Solanum lycopersicum: one gene and its partners. The main gene of each other region encodes a partner of the protein of the gene in region 4 in a complex. Links are inferred from orthologs where the notes say so. Each region holds a gene or a part of one and is shown on either strand. Other genes may lie near its edges.

The links.
Region 1: mediator of RNA polymerase II transcription subunit 27 (region 4) and mediator of RNA polymerase II transcription subunit 14 share a complex: the UniProt entries of both Arabidopsis thaliana proteins name them as parts of the mediator complex. The link is inferred for Solanum lycopersicum from reciprocal best matches to the Arabidopsis thaliana genes AT3G09180 and SWP.
Region 2: mediator of RNA polymerase II transcription subunit 27 (region 4) and mediator of RNA polymerase II transcription subunit 11 share a complex: the UniProt entries of both Arabidopsis thaliana proteins name them as parts of the mediator complex. The link is inferred for Solanum lycopersicum from reciprocal best matches to the Arabidopsis thaliana genes AT3G09180 and AT3G01435.
Region 3: mediator of RNA polymerase II transcription subunit 27 (region 4) and mediator of RNA polymerase II transcription subunit 15a share a complex: the UniProt entries of both Arabidopsis thaliana proteins name them as parts of the mediator complex. The link is inferred for Solanum lycopersicum from reciprocal best matches to the Arabidopsis thaliana genes AT3G09180 and NRB4.
Region 5: mediator of RNA polymerase II transcription subunit 27 (region 4) and mediator of RNA polymerase II transcription subunit 32 share a complex: the UniProt entries of both Arabidopsis thaliana proteins name them as parts of the mediator complex. The link is inferred for Solanum lycopersicum from reciprocal best matches to the Arabidopsis thaliana genes AT3G09180 and MED32.
Region 6: mediator of RNA polymerase II transcription subunit 27 (region 4) and mediator of RNA polymerase II transcription subunit 8 share a complex: the UniProt entries of both Arabidopsis thaliana proteins name them as parts of the mediator complex. The link is inferred for Solanum lycopersicum from reciprocal best matches to the Arabidopsis thaliana genes AT3G09180 and MED8.
Region 7: mediator of RNA polymerase II transcription subunit 27 (region 4) and MED18 share a complex: the UniProt entries of both Arabidopsis thaliana proteins name them as parts of the mediator complex. The link is inferred for Solanum lycopersicum from reciprocal best matches to the Arabidopsis thaliana genes AT3G09180 and AT2G22370.

What each region holds. Positions count from the first base shown.
Region 1 is NC_090800.1:84,078,038-84,082,121, reverse strand, and holds the start of mediator of RNA polymerase II transcription subunit 14, read left to right. Parts: upstream 1-1,284; 5' UTR 1,285-1,608; coding exon 1,609-1,818; intron 1,819-4,019; coding exon 4,020-4,084. UniProt on the Arabidopsis thaliana protein: Component of the Mediator complex, a coactivator involved in the regulated transcription of nearly all RNA polymerase II-dependent genes.
Region 2 is NC_090803.1:5,625,740-5,629,676, forward strand, and holds the start of mediator of RNA polymerase II transcription subunit 11, read right to left. Parts: upstream 2,801-3,937; 5' UTR 2,485-2,800; exon of another isoform or gene 2,480-2,484; intron 1,192-2,479; 5' UTR 1,177-1,191; coding exon 1,123-1,176; intron 145-1,122; coding exon 28-144; intron 1-27. UniProt on the Arabidopsis thaliana protein: Component of the Mediator complex, a coactivator involved in the regulated transcription of nearly all RNA polymerase II-dependent genes.
Region 3 is NC_090803.1:3,498,766-3,502,265, forward strand, and holds part of mediator of RNA polymerase II transcription subunit 15a, read left to right. Parts: intron 1-279; coding exon 280-354; intron 355-802; coding exon 803-2,119; intron 2,120-2,206; coding exon 2,207-2,542; intron 2,543-3,500. UniProt on the Arabidopsis thaliana protein: Component of the Mediator complex, a coactivator involved in the regulated transcription of nearly all RNA polymerase II-dependent genes.
Region 4 is NC_090800.1:77,933,198-77,936,178, forward strand, and holds the end of mediator of RNA polymerase II transcription subunit 27, read left to right. Parts: intron 1-1,004; 5' UTR 1,005-1,065; coding exon 1,066-2,301; 3' UTR 2,302-2,481; downstream 2,482-2,981. UniProt on the Arabidopsis thaliana protein: Component of the Mediator complex, a coactivator involved in the regulated transcription of nearly all RNA polymerase II-dependent genes.
Region 5 is NC_090807.1:64,223,280-64,226,902, reverse strand, and holds mediator of RNA polymerase II transcription subunit 32, read left to right. Parts: upstream 1-1,179; 5' UTR 1,180-1,325; intron 1,326-1,327; exon of another isoform or gene 1,328-1,456; intron 1,457-1,710; 5' UTR 1,711-1,753; coding exon 1,754-2,194; intron 2,195-2,740; exon of another isoform or gene 2,741-2,756; 3' UTR 2,757-3,123; downstream 3,124-3,623. UniProt on the Arabidopsis thaliana protein: Component of the Mediator complex, a coactivator involved in the regulated transcription of nearly all RNA polymerase II-dependent genes.
Region 6 is NC_090802.1:67,519,684-67,523,183, forward strand, and holds part of mediator of RNA polymerase II transcription subunit 8, read left to right. Parts: intron 1-766; coding exon 767-976; intron 977-3,038; coding exon 3,039-3,092; intron 3,093-3,500. UniProt on the Arabidopsis thaliana protein: Component of the Mediator complex, a coactivator involved in the regulated transcription of nearly all RNA polymerase II-dependent genes.
Region 7 is NC_090805.1:1,888,056-1,892,222, reverse strand, and holds the start of MED18 (mediator of RNA polymerase II transcription subunit 18), read left to right. Parts: upstream 1-1,367; 5' UTR 1,368-1,761; intron 1,762-1,941; exon of another isoform or gene 1,942-2,015; intron 2,016-2,751; 5' UTR 2,752-2,773; coding exon 2,774-2,809; intron 2,810-2,975; coding exon 2,976-3,075; intron 3,076-4,167. Other genes in the region: ZNHIT (zinc finger HIT-type containing protein), read right to left, coding at 558-631. UniProt on the Arabidopsis thaliana protein: Component of the Mediator complex, a coactivator involved in the regulated transcription of nearly all RNA polymerase II-dependent genes.

The DNA of each region.
Region 1 (4,084 bases), about 6.1 Mb from region 4:
CCTCAAAATTTAGTTTTTCAAATATTTCTCATTATGTATAATTAAAGAATTATCATTTATCTGCTTAAGTAGAGCTAAAAAATATTTTGTTTGATCGAAGATTGATATATTAGTGGGTGAAAGTGAAAAAGAAAGCATGAAACAATTGAGCCAATGCACCATTCCTTAATTACCAATCCGACATTAAATGAACCATTACCTTATTAGTTGGCTAGTGGATCAGTCTATTTAAAAATCAATATCCGACAAGCCAAATAATTAAGCATAACTATCCATCTGATCCGTCCAATACACAAACCTAAATTTTAGGTTATTGAAAATGTCCAAATAATATATATGGACTATGATGATCTAGTTGTATAAAATAAATGTGATATTTAAGATACAGACATCAAGCTATTAAAACACACTATAAAAAATGAGAGAATGAAAAGAGTGATCCTATAAACGAAACTAATTTGAATTTATGCTAAAGCGTTTGATTGCATAAGTGTCATATATCTCATAATGAAATTGACGGAATCTCCCTTCATCATTATACCTCAATGCATTATTTAATTTTAATTACGTGATAGTTTTTGAGGTTAAGGTATGCCTCCAAACATGAGAATGAAACTCCATATATTCAGAGATGTTGATCTTCTTCATTAATGTGAAAATAACCAGTTTAAAGCTTGAAAATTTGTAGTGAAACAATATTTGAAAATAATAGTTAAAACTTTTTGACGAATAAATAATGTAACGGTGCATATAATTATCAAATAGACGAAGCCATCATCACTTTAAGAAAATCAAGAAATGTGTAATTTCTTGAAAGAGAATTCTGAAACTGGGGCGGAGTAATAAGGGACTACGAGGACATGTTCATCTCTGGACCTGGACAAACAAGTGGGCGAATACTATGACTATAATAATTAGATTTCACTATTACGTGATAATTTTTTAAACAAGTATACCAGAAGTAAATTCGCAATGATTTATTAGACGCGTAAATCAAGAAATTTAAGTTTCATGAAGAATAATTCAGGTCACAGATGAATAATAAATGAATGATTGTTAAACACCGTTTTAAAGAAAAAATAAAATAATAGATAAGTTCTTACCGCTCAACAGATAAGCTCAAACAATATTTAGGCTTCACATACTTTGAAAGGTATATCAAAAAACGCAATAAAAATATTTTTTCGCACACTTAATAAATATTTTTATATGGAAACTTTCTAAATATTATATTTTTTTCTAAATCAACATGATTTAAGGAGATGAATTTTTATAAACTTGGTCAAATAGAACTTTAGAGGTTTTATATTAGTTTTGACTTCTCTCCGACTAGTAGTACCATATTCCAATTTTGCACACCCTCTCCCTTCCGCCGTTACGCGTTACCTTCAGACATCCGATCTATCAAAAAGGGAAAAAAAAAATAGAACAACACTCGCTTCATTCACTCTCTCTACAGGTCGGAGATTCATATTTTGTTTCAAATTCCACAATTTTTACAAACCCTAATAGTAATTGATTGTTTGGGCGGTCAATTTTCATTAAATGGCATTGTATTAGTAGGAATTCGGGATCGTCGGAGTAATTTAATCGGAGGGTTTTGCGGAGATGGCGGAATTAGGGCAGCAGACGGTGGATTTCTCGGCACTGGTAAGCAGAGCAGCTGAGGAGTCGTATGTTACGTTGAAGGAATTGGTGGAGAAGTGCAAGTCGTCTAACTTATCTGATTCTGAGAAGAAAATTGGGATTCTTAAATATGTAGTTAAGACTCAGCAGCGTATGCTTCGTCTCAATGTCCTATCCAAATGGTGCCAGCAGGTTGTTTTCTTTTTTTTTTAATCTATTCACTCCCTCTCTCATTATGTATGTTGATGCATTCAAGATTGAACACTATCTTTTTTTAATTTTTTAGATATAATGATGTGTTTTTCCCAATTTGTGACCCCCTTTATTAATCCAAAGGTACCCGTTACCTCCCACCGGCATAGGTACGGGGAAAATTTTCTTTCCAGGCTTAGGCAGATGGGGATTCTATGTTTGAGTTCTTTAAGGGTTATAAGAAGTGTGCCTTCTTTCTTCTTTGTTGAGGGGTGCGAAGAGTAGTTTTCGACTTCTAGGGTTTCTTTTGTTTCAGGATTTGTGAATTGGAAAGAGGAAAAGGAGAGGATTTTCTCTTTCTTTATTGATGCATTGAGAGAGTAGTGACAGAATGTATATTGGTCATGTATTTGTTTTTGTGAAATTTGTGAGTTGGAATGGAGAAAAATGGATCTTGATTAAGATTAGAAAGGTAGCCGTGAAATGAGTAGGGTGGATGTTGTTTTAGGAATTGGGAAAAGATGGACCACGAGGAGTAATTTAAAACTTAAAATCAGATAGTTAGGGTGGAAGTTCTAGTTATAGTGAATGTCGAGGACAATTGCCAAAAGAAAACAAAAGTTGAGGACAACTTCAAAGGTTTTAAGATTGTACGATGCTCTGTTCAAGTTGTACCAACAGCTTATTTGATGAAAGGCGGAATGATCCAAGAGACCCTTGTATTTGAATCGGATTGTCGATTAGACCCTTCTATTCTCGCCTTTTTTTTTATGACAAGGGAAACCTGGAGCCGCTGCCTTTTGGGTGCACATAGGGTAAAACCCCACTCCTATGCAATAGCTCGCAAACCACATAGGAGAGGTAACCCGCACCAGGCGACTCAGAAGGCAAACCCCCTTGCTTTCACATGCAAGGTGTTTCGAACTTGAGACCTCCAACAAAGCCCTTCTATTCACGACTTTGTCGACTGAACTTTTAGACTCAATGAAACACAATCTTCTAAACCCCTTTGACCCTTCAGATTTTTAATGACATGTCATTTATTTTTAACTTTATTTTGAAGTTTTCAATTTTTTTCCTTATTCACTCCATTTCTCCCTCACCGTCTCTATCCCTTGACCACCTCTTTCCATTTCTTACATCTGATATACCACCATAACTTTCCATCTTTATCGGTAACCACTTCCCAAAAAAATTAAAGACCTCCATTCTCCTCGAAATTTTCATCATTCACAACTTTCGATCACCTTTTTTTTTCAGCAACGCCTCTGTCCACCACTTAAACCACCGTGAAGACTGTCATTTTCTGATGAGATGGTAGAGAAGATGAGCAATCTGGCGATCAGTTCGTTGAAGAAGGGAGAAGATGAAGAGGTTTCCAATATACAAAAAGCTGAACAATTTTGCTCTTTGGGCAATTAACAATTTGGGTTTATTTTATTTTATTTTATTTTATTTTGTTTTGTTCTGGACCAACTTGTTTTGCACTATGTTTTTAATTATAATAAATTGATGACCATTTTTGGTCACGTTTTGACAAAAAAAAACCACCACTGTGAACTCCTCTTCTCCATTGATGCCAATGAACACCACTAAAAGACCTCAATATTTCTGGACATATGCACATAATTTTACACAGCACACACTCCACCTAATTCAAAGAATCACAATCACTCTTCACGCTCTAAAACTACTGGATCTTTGTCACCTAACAATTACGCCAAAAACATGGAAAGGAAGGACAAACCAGGAACAGTAGGACTTATCCCATTTCTAATCTTGGGAGAAAGAGTATGTGTAAAAGAAATAGGGTGGGGTGGGAACAATGGAACTGCTGTCACACCAAAAGAGCTATGAGTTTCCTGTAGATCTTGCTTCAAACAACTTTCTGTAGCATCATTTGAACCTTTAATCTTTGATTTAATAAACTCTTTCGAGGTATATGTTGGTAATGCTATGTACAAGGTTTGTCTTCATGTCTTTCTTCTCCCTTTCATGTCTTCATTTCTTCATCTGTCTTTTTCTGGAAGGAAAGATACACTTGTATTATATTCAGTATCTAGGTGAGTAGAAATATGGTTGTCAAATCTTCCTGGACCCTTAGAATCAACGGTTGGCCCTATATTCTTTATCATTGATCTCGTAGAAACTGCAGTTCAAACTCCGTATTTAAAGTACCAACACAATTATCTGGTTTGCAGGTCCCGTTGATACAATACAGTCAGCAGCTTGCATCCACTTTATCTAGTCATGATACATGTTTCAC
Region 2 (3,937 bases), on a different chromosome or scaffold from region 4:
GTGCAAAGAAGTAAAGTATGTCCTTACCTTGATTAGTTGCATGAACTCACTACAATGGTTGTTAATAAGCTCCTTCCTGGGGCCGCTCGGATTTGCCATTTCATCCATTACACCTCCTGCTAGCTCCAGAACTCTGACTATCCTCTGCAAGCATCAGAGGAAGATACAGCAACAGAAGGTATGAGAGTAATGTTTCAGTTACAATTTTTTCTATCAAGAAAAGTGATTACTGACTCCGCATTGAAAGTTATGATCGTGATTTACTCATCAAATTACGATTAGTTGCCTTTGCACTTGACATGCTATATCATCTCCACGTTTTTAATCTGAAGAAACCAATGACTAGGAAACAACAGAGATGCTGTTTCCGTTAGACCAGAGAAAACTCGTGTCAGTAGATATTCAGGGCATATGACAGGACGATCTCGAATACGATTTGATTTCCAACTGTTGAAGATCAGCCTGGAGTTTGTGGAAGATACTCAATGAGCCAGACAGGAAGAAAGCAACCAACAGAAGCAGAAGTTTGAAAAGCCCTTTCAGATCCTATTCTCGGTCCACAGCGTCTTTGATTTATTCATCATTGTCGTCATCTCAACACTATTCCCATCTTCATTCTCTGACTTCGAATTATATTATTTTGGCTGATTTGAGGATGGGTTGAGTTGGGTTGGGTCAGCCCATTTTGACAGTTAGGTGGGTGACATGAAATTCTTAGTCATGGTTATCTAGCCAAGCGGCTCTTGTTCTCATTCATTTCATTTGTCCGGTTGTCCCAGAAATTGAAGGATCCGGAACTCCAGAAGGCTTAGGAGAGCTCAATGGTGGAGTCCCTTACCGAGGCATAACACCATCCATATATCTTCAAGCTTGTCTATGTGTTTCACCCAATCAACGAAATATGGATTTCACCTAAATTCAAAAAGTACTCTCCTCGCTCTCTTTCTTTCTTGAAACATTTTGGTATACAGGATAGGGGAACAAGTAACAAGGACTCGGGCAAGGAAGGAATAATATTGTAGTATCAATTCTGAAATCAGAACATTAAGTATTTTGATGACAAAGAATAGCAGCTACTGAAATCAACCCATCTTAAGTCAATAATCCTGTAGAAACATTTACCTTCTCAACATTTTGCAGCCGCTGCAATGAAGTATTCTGGCTTTGCGAATCCATGTATTCTGAGGGAAGCTGTCAGGACAGGAGAAAAAGATTACTGAATTGCAATGCCGTAGAGCGATCTAGATGTGGAGAAATAAACAGAATCTATAAAACCTGATTATGTGCAGTTTTCAGAGATTTTGGTTCTGAGATCTTTGCAGTCAAATAATTAAACAATCAGAAACCTAAATCCTCTGTAATCAATCCGAAAACAGAAGAAAAACTTACATCTAATAAGTATTATGTCCATTAAACTTACCACCCTACTACACTCTTTCAAGGTACGGGTTTGGCCGAAATCAACAACTTTTCTCTGAACTCTATATTTGTCTTAAGAAATCTATTTAATATGTATAAATTATTAATTTATAAGAGATTATTTTATCCTGCGTGTAGTTGGCAAGATGCAGGATAACAATCTCATGCGATATGTTCTAAAATGTTGAGATTGGCTATTCCATATAGAAGTTGGATAGCTGATCCCACGAGAGAAATCCTTGTCTATTCCATCCCCCATACCGAACGATCAAGGACTAGAACACTGAACCCGTAAACTTCAAATCCTAGCTCCGCCTTTACCCCCAAGACCTGCTGATTATCAAACGAGCAATCCTAACATTTCACCGTCTTCCTCTAGCATTTCTGCAAAGGGGCTATTTCCTTCGACACTCAAACCCATTGCCAGACTTGATTAATCACCCCTTACTGTTCAAATGGAATCATTTCGTTTTTTGCAATTTTCTAATTGTTCAATAGTCTTATAAATTTGAATTCAATTTTTCAAATTCTATCTCGGAGTAGCCATTCACTCAACTCCGAATGAGCTCTTTCGAATCGTTCAATAGCCCTGAACCTGAGATCTGCAGTTTATTAAACAAGCAACCAGTGATAGTCTTATGTTTCTTCGCTGTTCCAAATTTGTCCTACACTCTCAAAACCTCACTAATTTCATATTCCACTTACTTCATTAACTCTTTGTCATCTTCTCTCTTCTCCATTTTTTGGAGGAATTCATCACTCATATCTCTGACTGCAGCGGCTCAACCCTAAAGCCAGCCACTAAAGCAAGCAGTGGATTTAGGACCCAAAAAAATAAGGTCCTCAAATTACAAATCCCTGAAGCTCCGAAAGAACCAAAAAGCCCCAAATTCAGCTCAAATGCACAACGATATTTCATATCATGCATGAGTGAAACAAAGCTCAGATACAAATACAAATACATATAAGACGCACAGGCACGAAATATTTTTCTTATTATTAAAAAAGGAGCCAGCGAGATGTCTGATATCGGCATCTACAAGTGAGAAGTCAATCATACCTTACCTTCAACGGCGGCTATGAGTGGCAGAAGAACGGCAGTCACCGGTGGTCGGAGATAGTCTCAGCTCCGAGTTGTTGCCTGTAATTTTTATTTTTTATTTTTATCATACAAGCATGTAATTGAATAAACATATTGCTTAAATTAACGCATATTTTTTTTAAAAAAAAACATTTTTTCAATTTTTTATTTGTTTAATATGTTATAAAGGTTTTAAAAAAGATATAGCAAACAAAAAATTCAACATAGTGTGAAATTAGGTCTTAGGCGTAACTCACACCCCAAAAGCTAGCTCAAAAGGAAACTCACACCTCAAAAGCTAGCTCAAAGGGTGGAGGATTGCTCAAGCCTTATAAGGAGTTCACTCATCTCATTAATCACCGATGTGGGACTTTTTGTCATTCTTTAACACATAGAAACTATATAATTCTCTATACATATACAGTTGAAGCAAATTGTATAAAATGAAGTGTATAAAACAAAAAATAGAAAGACACTTGGGCAGAGAACTGTATAAAAACGAAGCGTATAAAGCAAATTGCATTATTATAAGTGTATAGAACGATTATATAAAATTTGAATTTGTATAAAATGAGAAAGAGAAAGACAAAAAAGACTTGACAAGGAATATACAATTGAATAGAATTGTATAAAACGAGAAAGAGAGAAATTAGATACAATTTGAGAATTGTATAAAACGAGAAAGAGAGAAAGACAAAAGAAATTGGGCAGGGTGGTATTTTTATTGTATAATTATAATTGTATAGGACGAAAATATATGTACTTGCATGTGTATATACAATTTTCTCATGCTTTATACAAACAGAAACGCAATTTATACATTTCGCTTTTGTTTGTATAAGTGAGAAAGGCGAGGGTGGCGAGCGAGATTTGGGAGAGTGGCGAGCGAGACCTGGAAGAGGGGAGAGAGAGGAACAAAAATATATGTATTTATACAATTTTCTCTGCTTTATACAATTAGAAACAATTTTTATACACTTGTGTTTGTGTAAAAAGTGAGGAAGCGAGTGAGAGATTGGAGGAGAGTGGCGAACGAGATTTTTGGGATAGAGGCGCCTGACAATTTTTTTGCAAACGTTTACTATGAAGCATAATTAAATCAAACCCTACCTACTCTATTTATTTTAGGTTATTAGTTTGCTATATACAATTTTCCCTTTAAAAATACATTTGCTGATTAAATGAATATATACTAATCTAAAAACTATTTATTTTCAAAAACGTTTTCTTAAAACAAGTTTTTTAAAAAAACTTTTTAGCAAATTCATTTGAAAAGTGTTTTTATAAGCAATATGTGTTTGACTAATTTTTTTAAAAAGTGTTTTTATAAGCAATTTGTGTTTGAATAATTTTTTTAAAAAGTGTTTTTGAAAGTCAAATTACGAAAAAAAACAAATATCGATGTGCTTTTAATATTAAAATTATTTTATAGAGAGA
Region 3 (3,500 bases), on a different chromosome or scaffold from region 4:
TAGCACCGAGCAGAAACGTGTACCAAGAAGCTGAAGGAAGCAAAGTTCAGTTGTTTATTTTTTCATTCACATGTTGAATCATGCAAAATGGATTCTTTAATGAGTTTTAGTCTTCCGCTTCCACTTCACTTTTAACTTTTTATCTGGAAGGTTCTTTCATGAGGATTCTCTAGTTTGTTCTCTACTGTATCGGAAAGTTGATCTAATTATTACCTCTCCATATGGGAATGCAGTCTTGACATTTGCGCAATTCTGAGCTGATGCAAATTTTTAATGCAGATAAAGTCTATGAAGGAGTCGTACTTAGCAGAGCTCAATGATCTATACCACAAAATTGCTTCTAAAGTGCAACAGGTATGTCATCAACATTTTAATCCATTCTTATCATTTTTGGAGCAATTCTACTAGCTATGTATGGTGCAGCATGTTTGCCTGTGTTGAAGCGTTGTGTATGATTGTAAAGTAGAGGTGGAGGACACCATAAAATGAGCTATTTACACATATCTAGGTGAATACTGTGATGTAGATGCCACTTTTATGTTCCCTTGGGGAAGGGTTCAAGGCCTCCCTAATTCTTCGGGCAAGGGCTTGATTTGTCTAAATTTTAAGAGCGCTTAAGTCAGCATTCTGTTGAATTGGGCACCTGGCCACTATGTTATTTGTCTCTTTATGTTGGTTTTAAGTTTTTCTCCCTTTTTCTTTGCTGTGGGAGGGAGGTGTACTTGAAGCATGAATTTTAAAAGTTTGCAAAGGGCAAGAAACAAGACTTTGACTAAACTGATTTTTTTTTCCTGATTTTAAGCATGATTCTCTTCCTCAGCGTCCTCAAAATGAGCAAATTGAAAAGCTCAAGATGTTCAAGATCACGCTGGAACGCATTGTGCTTTTCTTGCGGCTTAACAAGCAGGATATTCAACTTTCTCACAAGGAAAAGTTGGCTTCGGTTGAGAAGCACATAAGTTTCTTTCTTAGTTCCAATAGGCCGCGCAGCAAGCCTTCTTCTTCTCCACTGCAGGGACAGCTTCCTCAGTCTTCCATGCAGCTTCAGCAACCACCATCTCTTGATGGTCAATCTAATCCGTCGATGCAACCCTCACAGGGTTCCATGGCAGCAATGCCTCAGAATAATCTCACCAACTTGCAACATAATACCTTGTCTGGTGTACCGACAATTTCCAACTCCCAGCAGCACATGATAAATACAGTACAGCCTGGTTCCACTGTGGATTTGGGACAGGGTAATTCATTGAACTCACTGCAGCAGGTGGCTACTGGCTCTTTACAACAGAATCCTGTTAACAGTCCTCAACAAGTTAACATGAGCTCATTAAGCTCACAAAGTGGAACAAACCCCGTACAGGCAAACCTCGGTTCCCTACAGCAAAATTCAAACGCCCTGCAACAGTCACTTCCTAAGCAGCACGAGCAGCAAATGTTGCAGAACCAGCAATTAAGACAGCAATACCACCATAGGCATATGCAGCAGCAACTTTTTCAAAGACAGCAGATAATACAACAGCAGCAAGCGAAGCAACAGCAGACCACGCTGTTGCCAACCCACCAGATGTCTCAGCTTCAACAGATGACTGATGCTAATGACCTAAAGATAAGGCAGCAAATGGGGATAAAACCAGGAGTTTTACAGCAACAGTCAGTTGGCCAGCGTGTTGGATCTCATCATCCCCAATTGAAGCCAGGAATATCTTCACCTCAACTCCATCAAGCACTGTCTCCTCAGGTTACCCAACATCCTTCTCCACAAATTGACCAACAAAATATGTTGGCGTCTCTTACAAAAGCTGGGACTCCTCTCCAATCCGCAAGCTCACCGTTTGTTGTCCCTTCTCCTTCAACTCCCTTGGCTCCATCTCCAATGCCGGGAGATTCTGAAAAAGTTGGTGCTGGCCTTGGATCACATACCACTGCTGGAAATATAATGCATCAGCAAGCTACTGTTGCTTCTGCACCTGCCCAATCCCTTGCAATTGGTACTCCTGGGATATCAGCCTCACCTTTGCTTGCTGAGTTTACTCCTCTAGATGGTACACATGCCAATGTCTCAGCTGCTGTTCCTGGCAGGTCAAGTGTTGAACAACCATTGGATCGCTTGATGAGAGCGGTTTGTATTATACCATTCTACTTAATTTGTATCTTCACTAATCCCAATAATCTGTCTTCATTGATTTGACTTGTTTATTACATTCAGGTTAAAAACATGTCTGACAAAGCATTGCAGTCGTCAGTTCAAGACATCTATTCAGTTGTCAGTATGAATGATAGAATAGCAGGATCTGCTCCAGGAAATGGGTCAAGAGCAGCTGTTGGCGAAGATTTGGTTGCCATGACCAAATGTCGTCTCCAAGCGAGAAACTACTTTACGCAGGATGGACCTACAGGAACAAAGAAAATGAAGCGATATACAACTTCCAACGTTGTGTCGTCAAGCAGCAGTTTGAATGATAGTTTCTGGCAGGTGAATTATTCTGAAACACCTGAGTTAGAGTCAACAGCAACATCCAATGCCAAAAGACCTAAAATAGAGGTAATTTTCTGCTGCCTACTTACAGGATAAAAGTACAAAACTGCACGTCCAAACATGAGAGCTCCGTGGTAGACTATATTGGTTCTTAAAAGAAAAAGGAGGTCCATTCAGGTGCATTTTAGAGTTAAAAAAGTAAAAACTGATCTTTGTCCATGACTGCTAGAGAGAGAGTAGAATGACCAAATGCAATATGGTGGAATATTTCTTGAAGTTTCAGCTTGCATGCAAACTGAAACTCGACTCAGAGTGGTTTTTAACAATCATTCCTTGTGCCTGCTCTTTCATTTTTATTGATTATGTTTCTGCAACTGGAACATCATCAACCCCAAACTACCACTTATAGTTCTGTTCTGAAAACTTTGATGGCTATGATAGAATATTGTATGGAAAAATCAAACATTACTTTATGTGAACGAGACATGAGTTTTACTTCTTTAGTACTCTTTCAGCTTGTGAGTATGTCTAAATAATCTGAACTAAGTATAAGACGACTGTCTAGAATAAAGACAAATGCATTTTATTGAATGCTATATGCAACCTGAGACTTTCAATTGGCTGCTCAGTCTTTGTACCAGACTGTCATTCAGTGTCTACTTATTCAACATATGATAATGCCCAATCCCTACCACAAACTTCCCGGCTCTTAAGTGTCCCTCAGCCTTACTGTGCCTGAGCAGCACTCAGTACAAATCTATACGGAAACAATAAAAATACGCCTTCTTTCTATATGGTTTCAATATTATCCCTTTTGTAGCAACTAGCGTGTGAATATATTCTAGTGGTGAACTAAAACCCTATCTATGAACTATTTTGACTTGAATTCCCAACTGCTCCTCAATTTATTGCTAGGCTCTTTAGCATTTAGATTGACCCAAAACACTTGGTCCTTGCATTTTCATATTGGGTTTTTTTTTATGCCTGGATTCACCCTACCTTTTTTGTGTTACTATAAACAATG
Region 4 (2,981 bases):
TGAAAGCATTGGAACTTCAAAGTCATTATTCCCATCCCCCATCCCCCATTCCTACCTTTTCTTGATAGAAGAGGGAAATCCACTACCTGTCACTTAAACTATATATATGCACTTAACAGACTTTGCTGTGCTTGCATGTCAAGATGGATAGATCACATCGAAACCCCTAAAGTCTGAAAAAAAATGATGACAGAAAATATTGAGTGATGGTTTCTTATATCCAATTGTCCTACAAAATTTTTCTGTTGAATATATTCCTCCTTCAATGTGGAAAAGGAGGTTATAATCACACGTACATCCTCTTAGTGTGTCGCTGTATAATTTTGTGAAATATGGAATAGCTGTAGAGACTCTTCTCTTTTTTTCAATTTGTGGGTCCTTTGTTCATACAATACAATTGGACAAAAAAGGAATGCAAAAAATACCAAGTGATTGTTTGTTGTATCCTGTTGTCCTACAGCATATGAGTGATGAACAGTCTCCTTCTTTAGAGTGGAAAAGGAGGCTACAGTTACTCAGACAACCTCTTTACATGTTGCTATAATTATCTATATGGAATAGCTGTAAAAATCCTTTGCCCCCTCATTCTGGGGGTATATTGTCCGAGCTGTACAGTTGGACAAAAAATACAGAGTGATTGTTTGCTGTATCAAGTTGTCCTATAAAGTTGAGTGATGAACGGTCTCCTTCTTCAAAGTGGAAAAGGAGGCTACAATCATTCGTACGTCCTCTTAGCTTGAGGTTCTGGTTCATTTTTGCTTTCCTTCGCTACTTTATGTACTTGTTCCTTGTTTTATGGGGTTCTTGGTAGGATTTTAATTCTGAAGCACGATAGTAGATATCACTTGCATGTTTAAAGCTAGGTGATGTCAAAATGAGTTTGTTGAGGTGACCGTTGAGACTTTGGAAATATGATGTGATGAATTGTTGTTATTGAACCGTCTTTTATGGTTACTGGTTGAGGTGGACTCTCACTCAGTTCTTTTTTCCAAAAATGAAAACAGCACCTCATCCACGGAGCATAATTGCCAATAATAAAACCTCCCAAGGTTCAGACTTGCATAAATGCAGCAATCAACACTATCATCACACACGTCGGCGGTACAAGGAGCTTCAGCTGCGGAGTCCAATGAGATGAGTGGAGATGCGCCGCCAAAGCAGGTGGCAATGGCACTGGAGCGACTGGGGCAGGCGAGTCGACTCATAGCTGATATTAGAATTGGCGCAGATCGGCTGTTGGAAGCCCTATTTGTGTCAGCTCAGCGGCAACACTCTTCTAAACCTTTGCATCTTATCCACAAAGAAGAAGCTTCCATGAGACAACACCTTCAAGAGCTTCGCTCTGTTGGAAGACAGTTAGAAGATTCTGGTGTCCTCAATGATTCCCTCCGATCACGAAGTAATTCATGGGGCCTCCACATGCCTTTGGTTTGTCCTGATGGTGCTGTTGTTGCATATGCATGGAAGAGACAACTTGCTGGTCAGGCTGGTGCATCTGCAGTTGATAGGACCAGGTTAGCTCTCAAGGCCTTCAATGGTCAGAAAAGACGATTTTTCCCCCACCTTGATACCAATTATGGTGGGGAGGGTGTGACAAAGAAACTTCGTGGTCCTCCATCAAGTGATCAAGAAGAAACTTGTGAACTGAAATCAGTGTCTGAAGTTTTGACACATCTGAAAAAGGAGGTCTCAAATGTAATAACATTCTCTTACCGGCGTTTGGATTGGTTGTTGCGAGCTACCTCATTGCCCTCTTCGACCAGTGAAAATTCTATTGAATTATCAAAAGAGAGTACTTTCCAAAGCACGAGAACATTAAGACAAGGATCATCTGATGATGATGTTTCAGACAAGGTTGCTATAATCGAATTGTTGATTCCTTCTGTTTTTAGAGCCATAGCATCAGTTTCCCCTGCTGGTTCCTTGGATCCCGACGCTGTAGCATTCTTCTCGCCAAACGAGGGTGGTAGCTACATTCATGCGAGGGGATTCTCCGTTCATCATGTATTTAGGCACATCACGGAGCATGCTGCTATGGCTTTACAGCATTTTACAGGTGTTGGTACTGAGTCACCCTTGCTTTCTTTGCTGCTGTGGGTTTGCAGCTATCAGACTTTGTTCTCGAAAGCTTGCAGCAAGTGTAGCCGTCTACTATCAATGGACAAAGAGTCTGCCATGCTACTGCCCCCTGTTAATCGCCCTTACCGAAACTTTTCTGCTGGAAAATTCTTGTCAAAAGAGGAGCCAAGTGTGGATTCTAGTCAGTGTTTTCACATCGACTGCTTTTCTGAGGAAGCATAGAAAAATCAGCTCCATTGTACAAAGAAATTCCGAACCTATAATGTAGTATGTGGCCTGAGAGTGGTTGGTTAACGAAGTTTCTTTGGATTGTATTTGTTACACCAAACTTTAGATTAGTTACGTTTAACTTTCTTTTTGAGGTCTTTAAAATCCTACTAAATCAATGACAATTTTATACAAGTGATCTTTTCTGAAGTCACTAACGAAGGTTAGTTAACAGAGAGTCATTTATTTTGTTGTTTTATTTCCAAAAGATCGAAACAAACTTTTTTTGGGGTATGATTAATTTATTTATGCTCTGCTTTAATTCATGCAATCTAAAGCTGTTGGTTTTTTTAGCCTTTCTAGATTGGTCTAATCATTAATGGAATTTAAAATAGGAGAATTTGAATAACAATTAACAAGTCTTATTTTCCTCTGTTTGATATGCCTTTACATCTTTTTCAATTATAATGCTAATGGACATACAGTAAATATTCGATAAATTAATAATCTCTATAAAATAATGTTTTTCTCTTGTCTCGACTTAGATCAATGGATTGAAATCATCAATTTCGATAAGATAATGAAATAATATATTTCTAGAAGACCTTTATATAAATATGTGGTTCCATTAATATCATAAATTAATAATTCTTTACAAGATCAAATACATCTAAGAAAATTTAGTGAAATATGAT
Region 5 (3,623 bases), on a different chromosome or scaffold from region 4:
AAGTTGGTCTTATGTGATATTGTATGCGTATGAAAAATGTTAGGTCAAATCCATCGATGGCCCCTAAACTTGGCACCAATTTTCACTTAGATACCTCAATCAGGCGATGTTCATTTTAAACACCCCATGTAAGGTTCAACTGTGTCATTTTGATACTTTTCTGACAATAAATAAAAAACTAAAGGAGAGTGTAAATGTGTAATACACTCGTTGATGACGTGGCAAACAATCAATTAAATAATTACATGTATTATTTTCAGTTAAAAATAATTATAAAATCTATTTAGTAAAAAAATTTAAAATATTATTCTACGAAAATTTCTTATTTCATTACACTCAAATCTCTTTTGTGCTTTACAAAAAAATATTATTTTCTTTTACTATTTTTCATATTTATTCTTCTTTTTAGTATTGTTTTTCTTTAAAAAAAGAAAGGAGGGAGAGAATAAACATGAAATATGGGTGTTGGTATCCATTTTTCCGGCAAAAAATAGAGTGAGGTGAAGATAGACTTAGATAAGTAATACAATGATGAAGAAGAAAATGACTTAACAACGAATTTGAATAAAAAATTTGACCTCCATTGAAGGAATTTAAATTCGAAAAAAAAGGGGGTGGTGGCTTGGAGAAGAAGAAGATAAAATAAAATTAAAAATGGCTAAATTAAGTCTTTCACGCGCTATTGTTAAGTGTATCACACTCACTTTGACATGTCAGCAAAAAGTGCCAAAATGACACAACAGAACCCTACACGAGGTGTCTAAAATGAACATCGCCTAATTTAGGTGTTCTAAGTGAAAATCGATAGCAAGTTTAGGAGGTCACCGATGAATTTGACAAGTTTGAGCAATTAAACAAAATATTTAATTTAAACATTAATGTAAAATTAATTTTATTCATCACATATAATATAATTACTCATCAATAATATATAACACTAACAAATGAAAAAAAATATATGTCTCATTTTAATGTACATAGAACACTTAATATATAATACTAATGATGAAAATACAAATAAAATAAAAATTAAGATACATAAATAATACTACTCCTTTAGTCCAATAAAATAGCACTCGTATATATATAAATAATTATTAGAAACTCAAACAATTATTACTCAATTATGATTTTATTCAAATATATTTTAAAAATCTTACACTCTAAAATATTAATTTTGAAACTAAAGGGAAGCTTTGTGTTACAAATGAAAACTATTGGGGAGGAATATGTAATTATTTCGAAACAGAGTGAGGGGAGAAGAGAAAAAAACCAAAAAAAGACAGAGGAGAAGATTGTGGAAGCCATTTTCTTCCTTCAGTCAAGTAAGTAGAAAAACCCTAGTCTTTGTGGTTTTTCTTCTTTTCATTTGCTTAAATTTATTTGAGTATTTTCAAGAAATTTGTGTATTGCATCAATTTTGTTTCAGTTGATTTCTTGCTTTTGAGTGTTTTGGGTAATCATAGAAAATTGTTTCTTGGGTTTGTTTTTGTATGCAGAATTTGATAGCATAATAGCTCTTTAATTGTTGTACAAAGATTCAATTTTTAATGATGAAATTACTACAAAGATTCAATTTTTAGTGATGGTCTTGCTAAAGATTCAATTTTAATGATGTTGTTGCTATAAAGATTCAATTTTTAATGATGGTCTTGATACAAAGATTAAATTTTTAATGATGTTCTTGCTAATTTATTCTCTCCTTTATAGATTTACGGAGGTTAGTGATCAATTAGGGCTTCGAGGGGTTGTGATGGATAATCTCGTAGATGCACTGAGCAGTGCATATCAAGACTTTGTTGCAGCATCAGCTGTTGTACTTGAATCAAAGGAGAGTTCTAATGGTCAGAAAACAGCAGCAACTGATGCTGCATTAGAAAACTTTAAGCAAAAGTGGGAGTTGTTCAGGGTTGCGTGTGATCAGGCGGAGGAGTTTGTGGAATCGGTTAAGCAAAGAATTGGCTCCGAGTGTCTTGTGGATGAGGCTACAGGCACTGTTTCAGGGAAGCCTGGGCAACCAGCTGCAAGTGGCCTTCAACCCATTAGTGCTGTTAGGTTGGAGCAGATGAGTAAAGCTGTAAGATGGCTAGTGATAGAACTGCAACATGGTTCTGGAGCGAATAGTGCTTCAGCAGTACATCCCAATCCTTCTGCTCCATTTGATGCCAGATTTTCTGAAGATGCAGCTCAATAGGTATACTGAAATCTCGCTGATACTTCCTGTCCTTGTCGTTTCCGTTGACTATGTTAAATAATCTGGAAACAAATTTGTATTATTTAATGAACTATTAGTGATAGGCTTTGTATCCTAGACTTGATGATGAAGCAAATAAGTGAACATTCCCTTGGAACTGAAACTGATTCATATATAAGAGCTGCTATTACAAAACCGCTGGTCTTGTATAAATTTCCAGGTTGATAGAAAAGTAGTAGAAGCTAACAAAACTGCTTTTTAGTGGCATCATATGTTCTCTTCCATCAGAACGAATAACTGTGAGTAACCACTAGTTTCTGCAGCAATTATGTTATATGTACTATCCTTACTTTATTTATGAAGAATACTATCCTTACTTATTAAGCTAAGTTTGACCCAACTTCTTTTTTTATGATCAATTATGTACTATCCTTACTTATTAAGCTGAGTTTGACCCAACACTTCTGACAGACAAATGGAAACTAGAAAAAAAAAATTGGTTTCGTTTTATTCTGTTTTCATCGCTGTAAAACAAAGAACTATTAGTTGTGACTGTTTTCAGGTAACTACAGAGTCTGGTGATCAGCAGAGAGAAACAGAAGATCTTATGTGCCTTAGTAAGCCGCTAAAGTTGATGTTTGATGTATGAAGTCATGTTGTAACGATGTAGAAGAAATACTTTGGAATGATATTTGTAAACCACCTTTACCGCCTCCCTCCCTCGCCATCTTATGAGAAGATCTGGCAAATTTACATTTGTGTTTTCTAGGCACAGAGATTTACTTTTATCGCAGTATGAGCTACTGCACTGTTAGCTTTATTTAGATCTTAAGCATACCAACATATACAAACAGGCTGTATGTTTGTGTCTGCTATGTGTACCTTATATTCTCGAGTATTTATGTTTATAATCGATTTTTGTTAGGAAATATATCTCCAATCTTGTAAAGTGGCTTTTTAGTTAATTGTGTTAACCCTGATGAACTCATTCAGTAGGCTTTGGAGACCTCTGGAATTGTTGCAACAGAGTATTATGACGCTTTGAGTGTAGCAGTATTAGTAAATACGCTTTAGCTTACAACTACATCTTGATTGCTACACAAATGCTCAGTATCCATGTCGCTCCATTTAACCTTATCTCAGTCTAATATTTAGTTGTACTGTATAATAACTTTGAAAACAGAAGTTCTCACTTGTCACTGCACTTGGAAACGTCTTTGTCCAATAACGCAAACTAATACTAGTAAATGAGAGATCTATGATGTAAAAGTTCTGATGGTTATTGAGAATCGTCTGAAGGGATGACAAGCAGAGGCTACTCTATAAAGCTATATATATCAGAAAAAACAACGCTCTTTTCATTAATTTTATGCAGACCCAAGAAGAAATGGGTTTTGAGGCAACATACAATGCTTAAGAGCATCTTTTG
Region 6 (3,500 bases), on a different chromosome or scaffold from region 4:
GCTCCTGATCAACCTACAGGATTCCCAACTTCTCCAATAGGTAGGAATTTTATCTCATTTCTTCATCTACCAAGGAGAATTAGGTCCATTTCACCAATTAAAAAAGAAAATTGGGACCATTTCCCCGTAAAATTGAAGAGCAAAAAGTGCACTGCTTGCACTGATCTCTTTAAACTTGTTATGGTTCATCTCTCCTTATTTAGCATTCAGACAATTCATGAGGAGGAAGAAGCTCAGATTAGTTAGTAACACATGCACACTGGCTGTTTGTATATACGACATGCGTAAATATCCAATTCAGATTCTTTTCAAAGGGCACTTTACTCCAGGATTGCACATATTTTCCAAAGAGTATGAACTTGTTAATCTTTTAAACAAAATGAGGACAATTATTGATTTTCTGCTACTTTTTTGGGTTTCATTTTTGGTTTTGGAAAAGCTTTGTAGATGACACAGAATCTTTACTTGACATAATTGATACTTTGTAAGATAAAAGAGTTGATTTTCTGAACTGTAAATGTGGCTGCAGCACAGCCTTTATGCTGATATGAATACAACATTACAGTTTTCTCAAAATTAATGAACATTGATTTTCAGCACTTTCAATATGCTTACCTTACCATGAATGACTTCTTCAAACATGAACATAATTATTATTCTATTTGGTGTATAATATATTAGTTTCTGTTGTTCATTTTATTGGGGAGTAAGTAATTGCTAATGAACCTGCTTTTATCAAACGGTGACCAATAAACCTGTTTATTAGCTGCATGGTCAGCCACAGATGCAGTTCTCTCAGCCACTGGGAGCACAGCAGTTTCAAGGTAGGCAGCTACCATCTGGTGCCCTTCATCACGGTATGGGTCAAAGTCAGCTCAACCAAGGAAATCAGCTGAATCGACATTTAAACCAGTTTTCTAGTCCTATGAATACTGCACTATTCAATTCTGCCCAAAGCACACCTAGCTCTCAGATGGTGAGTCAAATATATCAGTTTTTATGTTATTTCCTTCTTCAGTTCAGCCTATCCACAATGACTTACTCATTTTGCCCGAGAATTTTAAGTTCAAAATCTCTAGTTCTGCTGTTTTCTGCCTCTATAAATTAATTTGGGATATTCTGGTTACATCTGAAGAATGCAAGTTATTTATCTCATGCATTGAACTGATATTTCACATACTGAAAATTTCTGGGATCTTTGAAGCTGATAGTTCTAACTAAATGTTTGTTGCATTGTATGTACTGAACCTGTTAGAACCAAAAGTTCTAGAAAATTTTCATCTCTATTTGGTTCCAACTCATAGTTTGTCCATTAGTTTATTTTCCCCTGAAGGCACTCAATGTTGTATAGCACAGGATATGAAGTTATAGATCACATGGCGTGCTGTGTATGTAGTCCTCCCCTATGACATAGATATTAACTAACTTGGTTTACATGTTAATGCAATGCTCATCTGGTCACAGAAATGGTCGTTTCCGTGTCAACAACAACATAACCTAGTGTAAATCCATAAGTGGGGTCTGGAGAGGGTGGTGTGTAAGCAGTCTTACCCCTACCTTGGGAAGGTAGAGAGACTGTTTCCGATAGACCCTCAGCTAAAATAAAGCATATCTGGTCTTTTCTGTGTCAAGCTTCATTGTGTCTTTTGATTATTAGCTGTTTATTATTTTACTAGTTTCTGACAACGTGCGTTGCACGTTTATTCTTTACTATTGTTATATAATTTAAAATTGTGCTATCAAATAGAAAATATTTAAATCAACAATATTAATTTTACCAATTATATTTCATGTATCAACAAAAATAAATAAAAAGGGATTGCACATTTGGCATCAAGCAAAAAGTATGTAAAATTAATTAACATAATATAGTCTCCTTTAACTTTGTATAAGTCTTTTTTATGATCTAAATATCAGTGATAACATTTTATAGCCATAAATGGATATTAAAAATACATGCACACTTATTGATAAGATTGCCTATTTTATTTTAATGAGAAACGATAGAGTGAAATATTTATATTATTTAAGTAAGGTTCTAAAATTAAAAGACAGTACTATCAAAATTATACAAGATAAACACTGAATCTCATACATACATCTATTTCAAAAGCTCATAATAATAGCTAAAAGATTACATTACCACAATGAGTTTATTAGAAATGCAAAAGATATTAGAAACAACAATAATCTTCGTGATGGAGAATATATATCGAAAGAGATATGAGGAGTTAGGCATGTCTAAAAAGAAGTCTTCAAGTTCTTCTCCCACCTCATGTATTCTATTTTTTCATGTCTTTTTCGCCAATCATAGATGGAATAGTTTTTTGATTATCAGTTGAATGACAATTTCTTTCATTTTTCAATGTTATCACCTAGTTCTTAAATAGTAGTAAAAATGTCTGTTTAAATTCTATATTTTTCAGTTCTAAATAATAGTCTTTAATATATAGATAGATGGAAAGATGAAAAATACAAATCATAGACTTAATAAGAGAATTAACATTACCACTAATAATTATTACTTTGAACTTGGAATCTAATCTAGTTTGAATGAATAATTAAAAAGATGAAAAACACAAATCATTTTAATTAGTAATAAATGAGGCAGTTACAAGTCATCTCAATAATTTATTACTAATTCATTCATATATAATAACACACTTTTAATATCATAGTAATAATAAATAAAATAACTAAAATCAATGGCATTAATCGGATAAATGGGGGGTCACTTTTTTCATATGCCAATAATTATTTTAGGATATACATGTACAATTAAAATATGTCTTTTCACATTCCAAACATTTAATTATTTACTTATATTTTAATTAAGAATTAATTTAAGGAAATGCAAAAGTCGTCTACATTTTTATTAAAATGATACAAGTTAACATTTAAACTAAATAATTAAATGCTTTCTGCCATTAAAATATGTGCATCATAATTTCTAAATTTATCGAGCATTCTTTTCTTGAACTTAAAATTCCAAATGTCCAGTCTGCTTCGAATTATGTTAAACTTATTCTATATGGCAGATCTCAAATATGTCAGCAATGGTGCCATCACAAACTCTTCTGCCACGAATGCAGGTGTGTCAAATTGTATTTCCTATTGTTGTTGTCATGCATGCTGGAAGTTATTATTTGGTCAATAATTATAATTCACGACAAGGTGAACTGAGTGCCTTCTCTGGAGTGGAGAAAGTGACCCGATGTCTTCATTTAGCTTCAAAGGGAGGGAGTTCATTTTGTTTTCTGTTTGACAGTTAATTGAAATTTTCTATTTTATTGGCATTATACACATCAAATATTTTCTGTTTTGATATCTGTCTTGACTGTGAATTTGGTTTAAATTGATGGGAGGCTATAGCTATATGTGTGAACATGCGGACACAAATTACATGTGGTCCTTCAACATGTGGACACAACTTACATGTGGACATACACGCTTAGACATAATTAGTAGCCAAGGAATTTGGTTCAGCTTACATTTCTTGA
Region 7 (4,167 bases), on a different chromosome or scaffold from region 4:
ATAACAAACAGCTAATAATTCTAACCAGCTACCTAACACACCTAAGGTTCTTTGCGACAAATTTATGTATAAAAATATGCACTTTAGAAATCCGCATATAACTAATACAAATATAAGTTATGAGAAAAATTTGTGTATTTATTCTATGCCTGACATAAGATAGATAACTGACAGTTGCATAATTCTAACCGGCTCCCAAACGACACCTAAGGTTCTTTGCAATGATTTCAATGTATAAAAGTCCGCAATTTAGAAAGCTACATGACTAATACATATATAAGCTACGAAGAAATTTATATATTATTTTATGCCGGACATAAAAAATAACTGCATAATTCTAACTAGTTACCAAACGAAACCTAAGTTTCTTATCAACAAATTCATATCTCTATTTGCTACAATTATGATGTTTTTCTACATATAAAAATTTTTACTCTGAATTTTGTATGAATAATCTATATCCATTCCCCTTCAGTTTAAACTAAAAACAAACTCAAAACCCAGAATTAAAATTCAAATAAATTTCAAAGAATGAAAAAAGATGGAAATATAATTACAAGGGGATGAAGCAATTGGGACACTTGTATCTCGACTGTGCTTCATCACATACTTGACATTTTTTCGATCCCATTATTTCTTCTTCTTCTTCGTTATCGAGGTTTTAGGGTTTTTTCTGGAAGAGGTGGAATGTAAAATTGCAATATTGGTCCCTGAATTTTGAGTTTAGATTCAATCGGGTTCTTACAATTTTATCAAATTATACTTTGAGTCGCTTAATTAATTATGGGCCTAAACTCGAATTCGGGTCCAAAATTTTCAAACCATTTTCTCTTCTGCTAAGTACCACTTTTCTCTAATAATTCTACGAGATACTCGTCACTTTCTATAATAATCATTTTTCGTAAAAGGAATCAAATCATTTTATTCATTTATATAGAAAGAATTTTGCAATAATTAATTTTCGTAAAAAGTATCAAATTATTTTATCCATTCATATAGAAAGAATTTCGTGTTATCAATTTTCGTAAAAGGTATCAAAATCATTTTATCAAAGAATTTCGTAATAATCAATTTTTCGTATAAGGTATCAAATTATTTTATCCATTCCTATAGAAAGAATCCATTAATATTTTTTAATTAATTATATAAGATACTAATCAAATTTTCGTAACAGACATTTATCCACTCGTATGAAAAGAATCCGCTAATATTTTCAATTGATTCTACGAGATACTTGTCACTTTTCGCAATAGGTATTATTCCAACCCTATGTCTTGAGTTTCGACTTTTTTGATATTTTCGACCACTTCATTGAGCACTAAATCACCATATTATCTCTGTTACTGCTAATTGTTTTGGTTTCTCTCAGCCATAGCTTGCATTACTAAACCTTAATTTTACAATTGATCGTAGAAACATATTTTTCTTGCTAGAAAAAATCTCTCTTTGGCTCGTTTTTACTGTTGATTTTTTGTTATGTGATTAATTGGACCTTGTTTGATGTAGAAACCTAGATTTTTTTGTTACAATTGGACCTTGTTTGATGTAGAAAACTGGATTTTTTGTTACAATTGGACCTTGTTTGATATAGAAACCTAGATTTCTAGCTAGAATTTTTTTTTCTTTGGCTCGTTGTTATCGTTGATTTTTTGTTATGTGATTAATTTAGGTCTGCCTGTTTAAGCTTTCGAACTATTTTTTTTAATTGAATTTTTGCAGCTCAGATTGGGGGAAAAAGTGAGATTGCTTCAACTGTTCAAGGTAATTCTTTCAATTTTTTGCTCTGATGTTTTATGTTTAGTTCTACAATGCTAAATGATTGTGTTTTATATGTCATACAATAGTGTGTATAGATGATAAAATTTGGAGTTTGATGTAGAAACTTTGAAAAAACAGATGTATAACAATAAAGATATGTTAAACAAAGATCAAATTGTACAGGCACTAGAAAAATCATATTTTGATGCCAAAATAGTCGAAAAAAACCAAAGGCAACATATACCATATAGTCCAAGGTATTGTCTTTTCTTCACCCATTCTTCTCCTTTTCCATTTTCTCTTTCTTTCCTCCATTTTTGTAGTCATTCGTTGTTTTTGCTGAGCACATGCTCCATCATATAACAATGACAACAACATACCTTGTGAAATCCCACAAGTGGACTATGGGGAGGATAGAATGTATATATGTTGTTGTACGTATGTAGAAAATATTTGCCAAACAGGAGTTAAGCTATGTGTCCAAGTGACTAATTTTCCACATGAAAAGAATCACCCATGGTGGAGTGACTTCATTGATAAAACTTGATACCATTCCAGCACTACTACCTATTTCTTTGAAGAAACTTAGTAAAACTTAAGGTTGTTTGGTCATAGCCTAATGAAAGGAGCAAGTTTGACAGTTTTTGGTGCATATTGGATCATTAGAAGTTTCATGCTTAAAATCTTGGTGAGAATTTGGGTGTACCAAAAGACAAGTAATGACCAAATGCTTAAATTTCTAATTATGGATGGAAAAGGCAATAATTGAAGACCACCCCAAAATAGGGGCAATCCGGGCAAAAACTTTAAGCCTCAATCCAAAACTAAATTCATATTAAGATCCATTAATCTTCAAGCAATGCACTTCTCATACAAAGAGTGTCAACTTTGTTATGATTTTGGTTAGGTGTTAGCTTTTTCGTTGTTACTCTTCTGTTAAACTTAATATCTTTTTGGTTCATAGGTATGTTCTAAAGAGTTCTTTGCATGTAGGTTTGAATAAATTGAAGTGCGAATGGAGTGTGTGGTTCAGGGAATTATTGAGACTCAAGTAAGTTCCTGGAGTAATGATAAAACCTCCCCCTATTTCTCGTTTTTTTCTTATTCAATCTTTTAGAAGGTATGCTACTTGTAAAAGGTATACTACGGCATTTACTGAAACAGTTTTTGGCAATTGATTATTGAAAAGATCTTGACAGTGCTAATCATACTTGCAGCATGTCGAGGCCCTGGAAATTCTGCTTCAAGGGCTTTGTGGTGTACATAAACAAAGCTTAAGGATTCATGAACTGTGCCTTAAAAGTGTCCCTAACCTAGGTAAGTGTATTTTCTCTTTGAACTATTATGGAACTAGGAACTAACCCAATGGTCATGTATGTACTGATGTGGCTGAGGCAAATGCTCACAACCATCTATGCATTCGTAGGGAGGTTTTCTCACCTTTGAGTTTGTACATAGCTGATAATTTTTTTATGGTCCATCTTATTCTAGTTGTACTGTGGTGCTGCATGTCAATTATTGAATGGAATTAGGTTCAAGTATGATTCACTTTCAGTACATCTAATTTATAGGTCGAGACCACATGGTTTTTGCTCATTCACTTGTTGACTGTTGAGTGCCTTGTTTTCAACAAAGTGTTGCCTATCATGGTTTTGTCGATGATACAGATGTGATTCTCTGCGATGATGTACATGTGATTCTTTGACATGTTGATGAGGGTAACGTCGGAGTATTAAAACAATGCTTGTTTCCTGTTAAAGATAGTATGGCAGATGTTGATCCCACAAGGATTGAGTTTCTGCTATCCTAATTAGTGTTGCTCAATTACTATTCGAGTAATCAGATAAGCAGGCGGAATGTTTTTGACTAAAATGAAATATAAATAAGAGTTCTATGACATGAATGATGGTGAAAGAGTATCCATCAGTTCATTAAACGAGTTGAATATAGACTTTTTTGTTCTAATCAGAAGGAGTTGAATCTAGACTTCACTTATGATTAGTGTATGGTGTTCACTGTCCACCAATCAATATTGATCTCTAAGTTATAAGTGCCTCTCTCTATTACACTCAACATTGATTATTCCTCTCGCTTGTAGTAATATCTAAGGAAATAGAAAACCTTAAATTCAGAGCACCTTCAGCTAATCACCTTCCAAATCACTGGTGTATATCTCGATTACATCTAACTACTATAACCTTCTTGGCTAAGTGTATTTCTTTTTATTATAATAGTCAAGGTATTATTATACCTTAAATATGGAAGACGGTTGATTAATTAACCTTGGCTCCCACAAATATATGTTGACCCCTTGTGGTTGTCTACGCATTTGTCATATCATCATCACAATTCATAAAGTATGTTGAAGACTGATTTCTCCTCTTGGTTAGACAAGGAAAAAAAGCAAAC